Linked DNA regions of Callithrix jacchus. The protein of the gene in region 2 interacts with the protein of the main gene of each other region in a biochemical or structural test. Links are inferred from orthologs where the notes say so. Each region holds a gene or a part of one and is shown on either strand. Other genes may lie near its edges.

What was found. The genes of interacting proteins can lie anywhere in the genome.
Region 1: the proteins of PTPRB (region 2) and CNTN1 form a complex in vitro, tested with the Homo sapiens proteins (2 studies listed by BioGRID). The link is inferred for Callithrix jacchus from reciprocal best matches to the Homo sapiens genes PTPRB and CNTN1.

What each region holds. Positions count from the first base shown.
Region 1 is NC_133510.1:34,752,263-34,760,019, forward strand, and holds part of CNTN1 (contactin-1), read right to left. Parts: intron 5,361-7,757; coding exon 5,236-5,360; intron 4,576-5,235; coding exon 4,458-4,575; intron 1-4,457. UniProt on the Homo sapiens protein: Contactins mediate cell surface interactions during nervous system development.
Region 2 is NC_133510.1:73,039,358-73,047,114, forward strand, and holds the end of PTPRB (receptor-type tyrosine-protein phosphatase beta), read right to left. Parts: intron 6,120-7,757; coding exon 5,999-6,119; intron 4,539-5,998; coding exon 4,516-4,538; 3' UTR 3,144-4,515; downstream 1-3,143. UniProt on the Homo sapiens protein: Plays an important role in blood vessel remodeling and angiogenesis. Not necessary for the initial formation of blood vessels, but is essential for their maintenance and remodeling. Can induce dephosphorylation of TEK/TIE2, CDH5/VE-cadherin and KDR/VEGFR-2.

The DNA.
Region 1 (7,757 bases), about 38 Mb from region 2:
GAATGAACTACCCCCAGTTTATAAATGAAAAAATTGAAATCTATTAGGATTATCTAATTTGGCAAAGGTGCCACAGGTAGTAATCACCAGGAGTCACATTTGAATCTAGGTCCTTCTGTTTCCAAAGCATGTGCTTTTCATTAAGCAAGCAATCTCTCCTTCTGTATACATTTACTGAGTATCAACTGTATGCAGACACTCTGCAAAATGCCAAAATAATTGAAGCCCTGCTTTCGGCACCTATCCATAAACAGCCATGGGAATAATGGATCTAATCAACGAATTAAGGAGAACATGATCATTTGTAGTTCATCCTTACATCCAAGTAAAGAACAATACTTATCAGAACAGAATACTCCTTCGCTGGTGTGCTCTGACTTTCCTCCGGTTTCCCACATTCAATCTACCGCTCACTCTCCTTTTCTCTTGGCAAACTCCAAGCAGATTTCATCCATATATTTCAACACATGACAATCAACTGTAACTGTGTACTTTCTGGAGGCTTTTCTAGGCTTAAGCATATCTTTATCTGAGTTTTGACTCTTCATTATCTAGTCTGCTCATTCTCAAATTTATGTGTGTATTGAAATCATCTGGGGATGTTTTTAAAGTGTCCATTCAGTAGGTCTGGGGTGAGCATGGGATTCTGCACTTCTAATGTGCTCCTTGGTATGGCCACTGCTGCTGACGCTCTGGGGAAGACACCTTCTGTGGCAAAGATTCATTCTATTCCATTGTTTTGTTAGTCTAAATTTTGATAACTGGCAATAAAGTAGTAAGCAACAACCCATGCTGTACACCTAACGCACTTCTGGGTGTTTTGTGTAGTCTCAATAAACATTTTGTGTGACATGACATATTGCTTTGAAAACATAAAAGAAAATTTAATAGGATTATATTTTAAAAACAAAAATTCAGATGGAAAATAAGGATTTTCCTTGAATCAGTTTAGGTGTTAATGAAATAGTTGATTTGATGTGGTCCTTTAAATGACTTCAGATTTATCTAATATTTGCATTTCTAACAACAGAATCTAGACTATGTTCCTATATATGTTTTAGAAGTGGCAAAATATAAGGTGATATCCTTCCTCTCAATTAAGATGAAGGTATGATGCATATCTTGTGTCTTTGGTTCTTTATTGTAATATATGAACCTATTAAAAGAATAGCATCTGCTGTAGAATAAGTGCTCAATAAATATTTGCTGGATGAACACATGAATTAACTAAATAACCCCGGAAAAGAGAGGGAGAGAGAAGCACTGTGCATAAGAGTATAATAAACGAGAATGACTGAGACAAATTTAAACATGTTCAGGGCTATTGATCTGGGGAGGATCAAATTGTTCTGTTTGCTAGTTATTACATTAACAGTCATTAAAAGACTTGACAATTCTAACCGAAATATATAGAAATTTTTCAGTCTGAGCTGAGGAATTGTTATATTTGTTTTTGGTAATATACTAAGATATGAACTTTAACAGAAAATAAAATTTACATTTGGGACAGAATTCAAACTGACTTCTCTGAGTGAAAATGATTTTATATTCTTTTTTACCAAAGATATCTGAGCTTGCAATGCTTTCTTGATATCCAAGAACCTAGAGTAAATATATTACCAGGAAATTTAGGCTTTAGGGAGGAAGAAATAGAGTATGATCTTCAGCATTATAATAAGTGGATTGGAATGTTAAAATTAAGATGGCCTGGCTGGGTGTGGTGGCTCATGCCTGTAATCCTGGCACTTTGGGAGGCTGAGGCGGGTGGATCACAAGGTCAAGAGACTGAAACCATCCTGGCCAATGTGGTGAAACCCTGTCTCTGCTAAAAATACAAAAAATTAGCCAGACGTGGTGGCACATGCCTGTAATCCCAGCTACCTGGGAGGCTGAGGCAGGAGAATTGCTTGACCCCAGGAGGCGGAGGTTGCAGTGAGCCGAGAATGTGCCATTGCACTCTAGCCTGGGCAACAAGAGCAAAACTCCGTCTCAAAAACAAAAAAATTAAAATGGCCTTAACTTATTGAGACTAGTTTTATTTACTTCTCTATAATTCTCTCATTTCCTATCATTTTCTTTTTGTGTCCGTCAATCTGTAGGGATACCAATGTTTTGAAGAGTATTCTTTGGGTGCAGCACGAAAAAAAGTGGCCGCATTGAGTCTTGCTTTATCTTTTCAACAACTAATGCTAGAAGAAAAAGCCTGACTTCCTGAATTCACTACTTAAAATATGACTTGACCTAGTGACAACTCTTTCAAACAACATGAAAAGGACATAATACAGTAAGACTTTTGGGCTGGGCACAGTGGCTCATGCCTGCAATGCCAACATTTTGGGAGGCCAAAATGGGTAGACCACTTAACTCAGGAGTTCTAGACCAGCCTTAGCAACATGGAGAACCTCCATCTCAACAAAAAATAAAGCATTTTGCTGGGTGTGGTGAAGTGCGCCTGTTGTCTCAGCTACTTTGGAGGCTGAGGTGGGAGGATGGCTTGAGCACAGGAGGTGGAAATTGCAGTGAACTGAGATCACACCATTTCATTTTAGCTCGGTAAAGGGATAACTGGCAATACATAAATTAGTAAACAACCAACCTATGTTGTATACCTAACATAGTACTGGATATTCTGTGTAGGTTCAATAAGCATTTTGTGTAACACAACATATTGCTTCAAAAACATTTAAAAAAATTAATAGGATATTTTAATAGGATTATAATAACATATACACTACTATTAAATTATAATAAATCATAATTTATATCAGAAATTATTGTAAATCACATTAAATTCAATTTTATTAAATATATATATTAAAATTATAGATTATAATAGGATTATATTTCTTCAAAACACTGGTATCCCTACAAATTAATTGACACTAAAACCCTTGATAGAGAGAGACTGTCTCAAAACAAAATAGACAATTGTAAAGTAGTTGTAGTGAATATACATAAAGTAGTCATAATAAAACACCTTGGAGATATCTCTGGTGTGAATTGCAGAAGATTAGCAGATGTACTGGATGGGGAAGGGACATGATAAACTCTGCCATTCTTCAGAACAAAGAATCTTTGAGGAGGAGATGTGAGTGTGGGTGGGAGATATTAAAAAAGAATTCAGCTGCAGACATGCTAAGTTTGGATTCTCTGTGGGATTATCCAAATGAATATTGCTTCTAGGAAGTATTTATATTGAGATTGAAGCTAAGGATAACTATCTGGGTCAGAGATATAAATTATGGGATCACTAGTAAGTAATAGGAGATGCAGAAAAAATTCACTAGAAATTTTAAAAATAAAAATAAAAACCAGGCATAATAATGTAGGATACATAAAGGGAAATGGAAAAGGGAATGAAATGGATCAGAGAAATGGAATGCTGGGATAGAGCAAGATTTCTAGCCAGACAGAGGAGAGGGTGAAAAGGTGACAATGAAGGAGATAGAGAAGAAGTGGTCTGTGAGGTCTTATGGCTCAGAATCACCAAAGAAAGAGATAAGAAAGCCTGAGAATAATACAGGACCAGAAAGAGGCAACTGGTGGATATGTTTTCAGACACAGACACACACACACACACACACACACACACACACACACACAGAGCACATACACATACACAGGAGAATGAACAGCTGTTGATATCAAGTATCAAGAAAAATGAAAAGGAATGAATATAGTGCAGAGAGGTAAAATAACTGTTTGATGTTTGCTTAGGAGAGATTCTTTCTTCTCCAGATAAAGAGTATTGAAAAGGCAAATGTAGTAAAGAGACAGCTTTGAGTGGATGGGAAGTTGAAATACTTTATGACAAACGATTTCAATTTTCATGGAGCACAAGAATACAATATAAAAGCCAGAGTCCGGGTGCAGTAAGGGACTTGCAGAATGTCCTAAAAGTTCTGAATAGCAACTGTAGGGCATGAGACCCAGGGACTGAGAATGTTCCAAAAATGACCAAATACTCATCTGAGGCTGGATCACATGCAGTGTTTTAGCATCAGTCTTCAATGTTATGTGATTCTGCAGGCAGTGTTCAGCTGTCCAGGCATATGAGAGGATAAGACTTGTTGTCAAAATTGGCATGTGTAAATTGTGCTTTATCATTTAAAAAAATACCAAAACAATTATATTCCATGTTCCTTCAAATTTATTATACACTTCAGCTTCTTAACTAAAAATAAAATGATGCAATTTAATTCAATAGAAATTTGTATGTAGTTGGAATTTTCAACTAGCATAAGAAAAGTTTAAAGCGTTACTTCCTCCCTGCTTAAATGTTCTTCAGTGAAAGGAAAAACCATATCATTTCATTCCCCACCGCATTTTAAAAGTTTTTAATATTGGACATTAAAGAACGTAATGTGAAATCAAATGTGATCCATGGATACTCCATCATCTTTTTTAAATGTCACCTTCTTGATGAATGTTTAACAGAAATTAGAAATGATACTGACCTAAGATCTTCAACTCAGCATTTGCATAAATGGCTCCATGTGTGTTTTCAGCTATGCACTGATACATTCCAGCATTTTCAAAAGTCACGTCATATAGTCTCAATTCCCCTTTATGATACTGAAAAGAATAAAAGTTAAACATATTCTCAATGAACTGTAATAGTAATACTTTCACTTAGGTTTGGGCTTGTTTGTCTTTTCATGTAGATACATTATGTTCATCTGCCCCCACTGTTACCTAAGATGAACTGAGTGGGATTTTCGTGGCATGGGAAAGGAAACCCACTTACCATGCCCAAAGGCTCTTGTTCTATTCATCCTACAGAGCTGAGAGTCCACCTTTTCCCCTCTTGGACCAGCTGGGAGATTACAGTGGGAAGGTAGAGAAGAATCCCACTGCTGCTACTTGTCCCCAGGGCCAAAGGTAGGACTTAGAGCTTCACTCTTACCTCTGTCTCTGTGGGGTACAGGAAAATAGTGGCAAGAAAAAGAGGACAATATCAGGTATTGGAGATGGATGAGTAGGAAGAGGGTGGAAAAGTGGAACAAAGGAAAAAAGAAGGAGAGAGAGAAAGAAGGTAGAGTAAGATTACAGAAAGTTGTTTAAACTGAAAGAAGATACTTTATGTTCAGTTTTTATCTTTTTTAGGAAGCTTTTATATTTCAGGGCCCAAGTACTCTTTCTCTATTGATTCTCCTGCTAAATTTATCCCAGGACCACCCTGAAACATTGCTTGAACAGGGACTCAGGAACAGCAAAGTACATGAACGTACATACCGCATATCCATTTTTCAACCATCGGATGGTAGGGATGGGCTTCCCTGTGGCCACACAAGGCCAGTAGAGATCGCTGCCTATGTCCACCTCTGTGTCATTGATATGTTCTACCCACTCAGGGAATGCTAAAAAGTAAGAAACATTGTACATTTTAAATGCAAGTCTCAAGATCCATTATAACCTCCAGAGTATAAATATTACATTAGTAAACCTTATTCTGCAGAATACATCAGATATTATAGGTATCCCAAATTCAGTATTTGAACCATCAAAATTGTACTTGCATAGGCCTTTTCTTTGTTAGGTTTAACCTATGCAAATCCTATATTACTCTAAAAGGAGGTAACTATAACTCAGTCATTATTTTTCCATTTGTAAATCATGTTTTGTTGAAAAGCTGAGTTATAATTAGTACTAAAATATTTTTTTTCTGCTCATAACAAATCTTTCAAGTCTGTCAAAATAACAATTGAGGTTTTAAAGAATTATGTCTCAATTCAATATGGCACCATCTCTTAACCTTTTGGATAAAGATTCAGATTTTTTCCCACTCCTTCAAGTATATATTATCTTCATTTTGATGTAATTTAGCTAGTGGCCACTGTAACATCTTACTGTGGTGTTAGAAAATTACCTGGACACTTAAATATACTCTTTCCATATTAGAAACTACATATAGTAGCCATGATTGGTGAAATCCATGCATGAGTAAAATTGATCTCAGTCTCATTCTTTAATCTGATCTACTTGATATCTAAAGAAACACCCATAAAAATGAGAAAATGCTAAAAATATTCCTAAGAAAATCATATTTCTAGAGAACAAGAAAATGAACAGTTTGATGGTCTTTTTGATTACTTCAGTTATCTAATCCAAATAGATGCAGATAAATAAATTAATATAAAATAAAATGGAAGTAGGAAGAAAGAATCCTGAGTGGAAAATAACTTTCTTTGAAAATGGGAACTTGTATTAAGTTTATGGCAAAAGCAATATATACATCTTATATAAGGCATTTAACAAGTAATAAAATACCAGAAATTTAAAAACTAGAAAACATTTTTATAATCTCACCAAATACCATCAATATTACACATTATAATGTATATAATATATGTAGACATATGTACACCTATATACATATTTTATAGCATATATAGTCTTATTTAGTACAATTTTTCACTCATCATTATATCTGTCCATAACATAAAGAGATTTTTTTTAAATATTGGTGGATACATTCATGTTAATTGAGAGAGGCTTTACTTTGTATACAATCTTAGCAATACATAATACAGGAATATCAGCACCTTTTCTGTCTTGGTCTCACATAGGTAACACAGACATTTGCTATTACATTTTATACTGAATAATTGAATTGGCTTGATACATTCTATATATGGCTTAATGATGTAACTTTCGAGTGATGTGATCAGACCTAAAGATAATACTGAGTATGCTGTATTAGTAAAGAAGAAATATTTCTCTTAAATTACCTGCTATAAATACCTGCTCTGGCACCTTGGTTCTTCTCAGGCTTTAGATATTGAACAGTTCAAAATTCTACTCTGCTGAGAGCCTGGGTGTAGTTTTCTTAATATGTTGAATAAAAACATGTCTATAAGCTTTAGAAACCTGGTAGAAAGTGATGGATTTATTTCAAAAGTTTTAAAGCTCTTAACTACTTTTCTTCCTTTCAGGAGGCTATTTCATGCATACTTGATATGTATCACGTTAACATTACTGTGGCATTGGATATACAAGTCTGAGGTTCAGGATAAATGTCTGGGTTACAGTGTTCAGGGTAGAGTGTGTCTAAAGCCATGATCATGAATGGGATCCTAAAGGGAGTGACTGAAATGGAGATGAGGTTCACAGATGGAACCCTGATCACACCGATGGTAGAAAGGTATGGAGTAAGGAGGAAACATAAATGGAGAATGAAAGATTATACAAGGAAATTCATAACAGAGCGGGTCCCAGTCAAAAAGCACAGAAAGTAAATAACGAAGAAGGGAGGGACCAACTGTGGCAACCACTTATGTTAGATTAAACAAAGTACAACTGAGAATTGAACATGGGCTTCAGCAATATGGAAGTTGGTGGTCATGGAAAGAAAGGTTTCTGTGGAGAGGTAGAGATGCAAATCAAGTTGGAGTGCATTTAAGAGAGAAGAAAAACTGGAGATGGTGACAACACTTTTAGAGAGTATGGGTGTATCTGTCAAAATTTTAATTCCTTTTTGGGAGAGACAGGAGGCAGTGAAATGGGACAGTAGCCAGAATTAAAAATGAATAATCTTGTGTAAGCCCTCAATGTTTATTCTGTGTGACCTGCAGGTTCATGTTGTGGAACACTATAGAGATTATTTCAGTCTGGAGTGTTTCCAATGTGGCCTTAAAAAAAATCTGTCTTCCCAAATGTAAGTTTATTTTAATGCATGAAAATCAAAGACTTGTGCCAAGACAATTTTCTCAAAGAAAAATGATTCCTTAGACCAGTGGTTCTCGAAGTGTGACTCC
Region 2 (7,757 bases):
AAATGCCTTATTTGTGTTGCATACATTTATTCCAAGGGAGCCTCCCTACAAGTCAAGAGTATTCTCTTAGCCAGAAATACTTCTATTGCTAGAAACATTTTTAGAACAGAACAGATTTTTCCTGTTATCATGGCTGCATCAAATGTTATCCTGCATTTTAACTAAAATGGCCAAACATTTTCAAAGTCATCATGCACCACAAGAATCTAAGGCAGTGTGTCTAAAATGCCAAACCCAGTACATTTAGTTAAACATCTGGTCAATTCAAAAAGCAAAATAACTGATTCAATTGTTTAATCAGATAAATCATCTGGCCAACGTAGTCAGAGTGAATCCTCAAAAGGGCAACAATAATAGAAACGTATGACAAAATTGTCCAAGCACACCCAGTCCACACAGAAGAGGTGCCATTTTATCTTCCTGATGATGTCTGGTTAGATTCTCTTTTACAAATATTTTCTCTCTGTATTATTTCACTTGCTTTCTGCAGTCATGGTTTATAGATTTTTCCTTTGATTTGGAACATTCTTTGAATACCTGTTGTGATTTTAAATTGCAGGTTAAAAATAGCAGGGCAGAAAATTAATAGGGCATTTTCTCCTTCAACTCTTCAGGAATGAGGTAGGCTTGAGGGCTTGCTCACTGCAACTTGAGGAAGATCAGCTCTTCCTTATTTCTACTCTTTCTTGGCTAATCAGTTATAATGCTTTCATTTCCTCAAAGAAATGGAACACAGGAAGCCCTTGAACTGCTATCACAAGCAAGCAGCTTTATTACCTATTGATTTTCTCTAGGTCAGGTTTGGTCTGGCTCATGTTTGTAAACTAAAATTGTAGAGTGTCCCAGAGTTAGGGTTCAGATACTACCACTGCTGTTGTGCAGATCTGGTAGCTTTATGATTTCAGGATTCCAACCTCAAAGCATTCCCAGAAAATTAAGTGAATGAGAATTTAGTATACGACCAATAATTTTATTGCCAAAGGTAAGGAAAATATTTAACATAAAAAACTGGACCCTTGTACATGAAGGCAAGAGAATCAGCATGTGAAAGGTAGCATGTGAGGTCTATTTTTGTATTGCTGGACATCTGCTAAATGGTTTAATATTATTTTCACATGTCGTTTTGGGCTTTCTTCTGAGAGGTAATTACAAAATTAATCAAAGACCTTTCCAGATAAAACTGGTTTCAAAATGTCTGCATGCTGTGTCCCTTTTAGTATTTAAAAGTGAAATTGGATGGGCGCAGTAGCTCACGCTTATAATCCCAGCACTTTGGGAGGCCAGGGTGGGCTGATCACCTGAGGCCAACATGGTGAAACCCCGTCTCTCCTAAAAACACAAAATTTAGCCAGGCATGGTGGGTGGGTATCTTTAATCTCAGCTACTCAGGAAGCTGAGGCAGGAGAATCACTTGAACCTGGGAGACGGAGTTTGCAGTGAGCCAAGATTGCACCACTGTGCTCCAGACTGGGCGACAGAGCAAGATGATGTCTCAAAAAAATAAAAAAAGGGAAATTATGGTCATCTCTTTGATAATTTGGATACTGAAAGGACTATGAGATTATCCTCATGGGTATAAAAGATAATATGAATAGTAGATAAAAATTAAATTTGATTGGGAAAATGAACATATTCAACTGGAAGGAGTGGGGTGAGTAATGAAACACAGGGACTCAGCTTTAAGGGATGGAGAATTACTTAGGAAAAATATGTGCAAGCCCAGATAAGAGAGGTGAGTCTTTGAAAATTCTGATTCAAGAGCTGAACAATTGGCTGCTTTCCAGAGAACAACAAAATGATAATACAAAATTGACTTAATGAGATGAGATTAAAGGAGTTAATTATAAAGAACTTGGAAAAGTAATTATTAAGATGCTAGATGGGACTCTCCCAAGATTTGATAGCTCGAAAGCACTTTGAAGCCTTGATGATTGAAGTGTACTGCACAGGTGCACAGACAGGATGTCCACCCAGACAGGAAATGAAGTGTTTACCAAGACACAACATATGATGTAATTAAATGAAAATACATCCAATAGAGCTGAATGTCAAGGAAAACTTTTTTGTCACCTAATTTAATAAATAGATCAATTATGTATTTAGTTTTCCTGGGAGCAGGAGAGGATGGTGAAATATTAGTTGCTAAGGAGGTTTAAAATTGGGTGTAGGGTAGGAATAAATATTTCCTGGAGTAGACTAAAAGAACCGACCATGTTTTCCTGTCACGTCCATTTACATAATTCTTATACTACCTTGATGTTGCCAGGGTATGTGAGTGTTATTTACTATTACAGATGTATAGGTTTTTTTGTGATTTTAATTCCTGGTTTGTCCAATTAATTGCTCTGTCTTCTAGATCCAGAGGTTTGCTGTTGAAGTAGCATTAGCACTTGCCAGTGTGTGACCTGTGGAAGGTGACCACTGTCTAATCCAGTCAGTTATCCCATTCCCTTGATGAGGCCCTCTTTTAAGCTCAATTCAAGGTAGTAACAATAGTCCTAACTTTATGAGGATTCTCTTTATGTGAGTAGAACTGCATAGATTCTGGAACAGTGTCTAGTAGGTTGCAGGCACCTACTAAAAGTTTGCTGAGTGAATGAAAAGTCAAAAATGAATGTATCCTTCCAGGCATCAATGTGCTTTGCGTCAAGCAATACTAGTGTAAAATTCTCTTTTGTTGTATTTTTGCTTTTTCTTTTCAATATAGGAAAGGTGATTTCTCATAGATGCTGCACCTTGTAAATCTGACCTCTATTTTCTCGCTGGTGGTACATCTGCTGCACTTATGCATACATTGTTCCTTTTCATTTCCAGAAGATCCGCTTAGCTCCCTGATACAGAATCAGAGCCTAGACTGTCATTTCACAAGGGCATTGAGCACAATGAAACTGTGGAACTTTGAAACTTATTATTATGCTTCACATTTTTGTAAACTTCAAATAACCCTGGAAATTTTCCAGATTGGGTATAGAGTTATTTAACTATAAATAACTCTTTTAGGTATAGTCAATGATTTTCAATTATTATGCCAATTACATTCATTGTATTACTTAGCGGACTTTATGGTAGGTTACAGAAATACATACTTTGAAAAGAAATGTACTCTTTCTGCAAATGAAGCTGTGCCATCAACAAACAAACTCGACCTCTAATTCCCAAGTTTATTACAGAAAAATCTGTAGCATGAAAAAGGCCAACATCTCCAGCTCATCTTCTCAGGTATCTATGAAGAGTCCATACAAATGCCTTTCAGATTTTCCCCGGGAATGCTCTCAGAACTGACCTTGATGAAGGGAATGCCCACTTTCTGATTCACTGGAATTTGTTGTAGTCAAAGTAAGGCACAAATATCGAAGATAAACTTGGTACAGTATGTAGTGCCTTTAGCTATTATATGCAACTTTAGGTGACTACTTGACATTTTGACGTCATTGATTTACTAAAGTTTTGAGAATTTTATTAACGACCACTGTTTTCGTTCATTCTGTTTTTTTAAATTTAAAATATATTATTGTAGTCATTTCTGTGAAAATAATGGCATTAAGTCTTTTAATCAGGGGCACGATCTGTTACCATAATATTCTTTTAATGGGAAACCAAGTAGAAATGGATAATTGTGACTTTTCCAGGAATGGAGACTATGGAAAATGAGACAATATAAATACATTACAGTATGGGTGTGCATGTTCACACTCCACACCATGAATGCGGTAAAAGAATCTCTAATCACTATAGTTAGTGCTTTGCATGTTGTTTCTAGTCTGGGTATAGCTGGCATCTTCTTAACAAAAGGAATTCATCACTTCTGTTTGGAATTATTCTCTATCAACCAGAACCCTCAACCCTGCATCCTAGGCTTGGACTGCAAGTTGCATGATCCCAGACCCCTTTGGCTTCAATCCCTGGCAGGAGAAGGGAGAGAGAACAACTAGTTCAGACACAACCATCTGGTTCAGCTTTGGTACTGCTTCATTAATTCTTCTATCTCCCTCTAATCCTATTTTTGACTGTTACATTTGTCCTAGTAGCATGTTAGGACATGCCTGTTGGCTATCGAGATTCATGGGACAGCAACGCAACAAAGCTAGCCATAGTATTTGCTCTCTCTAGCCTTGCCCTTTATCCTGTCCAGTGAATATCAAAACAGGTAGAAAACATGCCTAAGGGATTGTCTCTGCCACCACCTCCATATGCATTTAACCAGCAGTCCTATCATACAGGTTGAATTAGTTTATGTAGAACAAGTCATGAACACTTTAGTGTGGAAAAATAGAATTATATAAAGCTTAATATTAAACATTATGAAAAACATATTTACAGAAGAAACTACAAAATACAACTATGTACAATAATATGTTACCTTTAAATTATATAAAATTTTAAACATTCTCCAGATTAATAAATTATACATAGTATCAACAGAAATAGCTGGCACCTCTATAGGGCATGAAGCAAGTTTTTATAAACAAATCACACAGTGAATAATTTTTATCCAGGAGCTCTTCAGGTACATTCTTAATGCCTTGAATAGACTGGATCTGAAAGGAAGAACACTGAAATTAGAGGCAGCAGCAGGGTGTGTCATAGTGGTTTATGAAAATTATCAATGCAAAAGACCGGCAGAAATGAATAAAGCTCAACATGGTCTAAGGTGAGAACATTCCTATGGGGACCAGGTCATTCCAATTAGAAACACAGATTATTAGACTTGGAAGGGACTAATAATTCTAGCCCATCTCCTCTGTTTTTATGGATGAAGCCATAGGCCCAGAGAGGCAGAGTAACTTACCCACGTTACACAGCTTGTTAATGCTAGTTAGTTCAAGAGTTTGGACCTGAATCTTAGCCTTCAGTGCCTGGTGGTTAACTTTTTCTATACCATAGTTAGCTTCTTTCAGGGGTGCCCAAGATTACTAAGATTCTCAGACAAGTCAAAACAAGACAAAGGAACCTCCCAGATCCCTCAGAACTTGCTCTATCCTGAAGCTTCTTAAGGAATCTCCAATTCAAAAACCTTAAATGACTATACAGATAAATTAGGGGGTAATTATTTATCATACAAAAGATTATCTGATTTACAAAGGACTCCTCTAAATAGTAGCTCTTTATTTGTGCTTTGTAGATTGTTAACTCATTAATATACTGGCTACGCTTGATGAAACAGAGAACTAAGTAAAAGGTTAGGAGACAGCCGGGCGAGGTGGCTCACGCCTGTAATCCCAGCACTTTGGGAGGCCGAGGCGGGTGGATCACGAGGTCAAGAGATTGAGACCATCTCGGTCAACATGGTGAAACCCCGTCTCTACTAAAAATACAAAAAATTAGCTGGGCACGGTGGCGCATGCCTGTAATCCCAGCTACTCAGGAGGCTGAGGCAGGAGAATTGCCTGAACCCGGGAGGCGGAGGTTGCAGTGAGCCGAGATCACGCCATTGCACTCCAGCCTGGGTAACAGGGGCGAAACTCCGTCTCAAAAAAAAAAAAAAAAAAAAAAAAAAAGGAGGTTAGGAGACACTGAAGATCATTTACAAATGGAGATAAGAGCGTGTGAAATAATGTCTGTCAAAGAAAGATTATCTGATTTATAGAGAGAGAACAGTCCACATGGCAAGGAATTGCTGGAATTACAAGCTTGAGCCACTGCGTCCAGTTAGAATCTTTTTCTTTTTCTTTGAGACAGGATCTTGCTCTGTCACCCAGAGTGGAGTGCAGTGGTGTGAACTCAGCTCACTGCAGCCTTGACCTCCCAAGCCCAAGTGATCCTCTCCCTCAGCCTTCCAAGTAGCTGGGACTACAGAGGATGTCTGGCTAATTTTTTTTTTTTTAATTTTTTGTAGAGACGGGGTCTTGTTATGTTGCCCAGGCTGGTTTCAAACTCTTAGGCTCAAGTGATCCTCCTGCCTCAGACTCCCAAAATGCTGCAATGTGAGCCTCTGTGCCTGGCCATACTGACCATATCTTAATGAAGGAACTCGGAAGTTAGTAAAGTAAGTGCCTACCTCTGTGATACTCTGGATTCACATTTTCGTAGATTGGAAACAAGGGGTTTTCTTGTTCACTCCGTAGTTTCCTTGCTCTGAGGACATCTCTTACACACTGATGCAGGTAGACATACTGACACTGTGGAAAAAAAGAGACATGTCAGAGGAGGGCCTGTTCACATGCAGAAGAAAGATGAGGCACTCTCACAAAATACTGACAGTGATGGGATTGTATATAGTTAGCAAGTTTCTTGGTCATCATTTTACTAACGGTCTCTGATAAATAAAACAGTGACTGTCTTTTATTACCACTGAAAAGAGAACAATGGTAATGGGCAGAGAGGTGGCATTTTTCATTCTTTTAATATTTATGTATATATATGTGGTGTGTTCTGTGAGCACCTATAACTGTGTCTAGTACATAGTAGGTCTTGCACAAATTCAGTAGATGAACGAATGCCAAACGCTACTATGTAGTTTACATACATTATCTCGTTTAATGATTTCGACAACCTTGTGAAGTAAGTGTAATGATCAGTATAAACTAAGACTCAAAAGTTGAGTAACTTCTCCAAGGTCACACAGCTAAGAAATTGGGCCCTGGGATTTGTTCTTGGAGATGTGACCTCAAATTTCATGTCTTTTTCACTATACCAGTTTTCATAGATGAATCCCAATTTCATTGCATAACTGAATGAGAAAATCATTTCACTGCATACTCTGCTGCTTTGTTTTCTTTATTCTGGGAATACAGTGGGAAAAAAAAGAGGTATGAACAAGAAACGCTGCTGGACTGTTAGTTCTTTGAGTGCAAGGTCAGTGTCTTATCCATCTCTGCTCTCTCAGCATCTGAGTCTGCCACATGGAAGAATCTTGAAGATGCTGGCTGACTGCAGAGAACTACAGGGGTTACAGAGTGAGGACAGACCCACCTGTCAGCTATTTGAGAATTTACTACTTTTGAAATATAAATGAATATAGGAGTCAGTGCTTTGGTGACCATAAAGACCTCCACTGACCACTGTGTCTCAGCCACAGGCAGCCAAGCTTGTGCATTGGGCCCCCTTCCTTATACTCCCTGAGCTCTCTTATAAGGAAATAGATGTCTGTGAAACCTTCCCTTGCTGATATAGCAACTGCTCAGAGGGAGTTGTGAGCAGTGAAGAAGACTGGGCTCTCAGCAGCCTCTAGCCAGCCTAGGCTGAGCCATCAGGCTTCTTGGGATCCCAGTTTTCCCGTTTATTAAACAAGGAGGCAGTGGTCTCTTATAGCTAACAGCCTTTGTCCATTAAAAGATACAGGTTGATGTCAGTCAGATAGATATTGGAAAATATTTCCAAACCTCGTGTTTAAAGCAATCAGTGCAGTCAGTCAAAGTATTTTAGAGGTTTGAGATACAAAGTAGAACAATTCAATCTTTCCTCATTAACAATCCTACCAAGTAAACAGGTACTTATTTTTATGGATTGGCACTAGATACTGTCCCTGATTGAAAGCCAGCCTGGTCATCTATCCATGGGACTATATAAGGTAGGTCTGGTATAATCAATAGATAAGAACATTTAATTTTTTTTTTAAGAGACAGGGTCTTGTTCTGTCACCTAAGTTGGAGTACAGTGACACAGTCATAGTTCACTGCAGCTTTGAACTCCCGATCTTAAGTGATTCTCACACCTTAGCCTCCTGAGTAGCTGGGATTACAGGTGTGCACCATCAGGCCTGGACAAATTTTTTAAAAAGTTTTTTAGAGATGGGGTCTTGCTCTGTTGCCCATGCT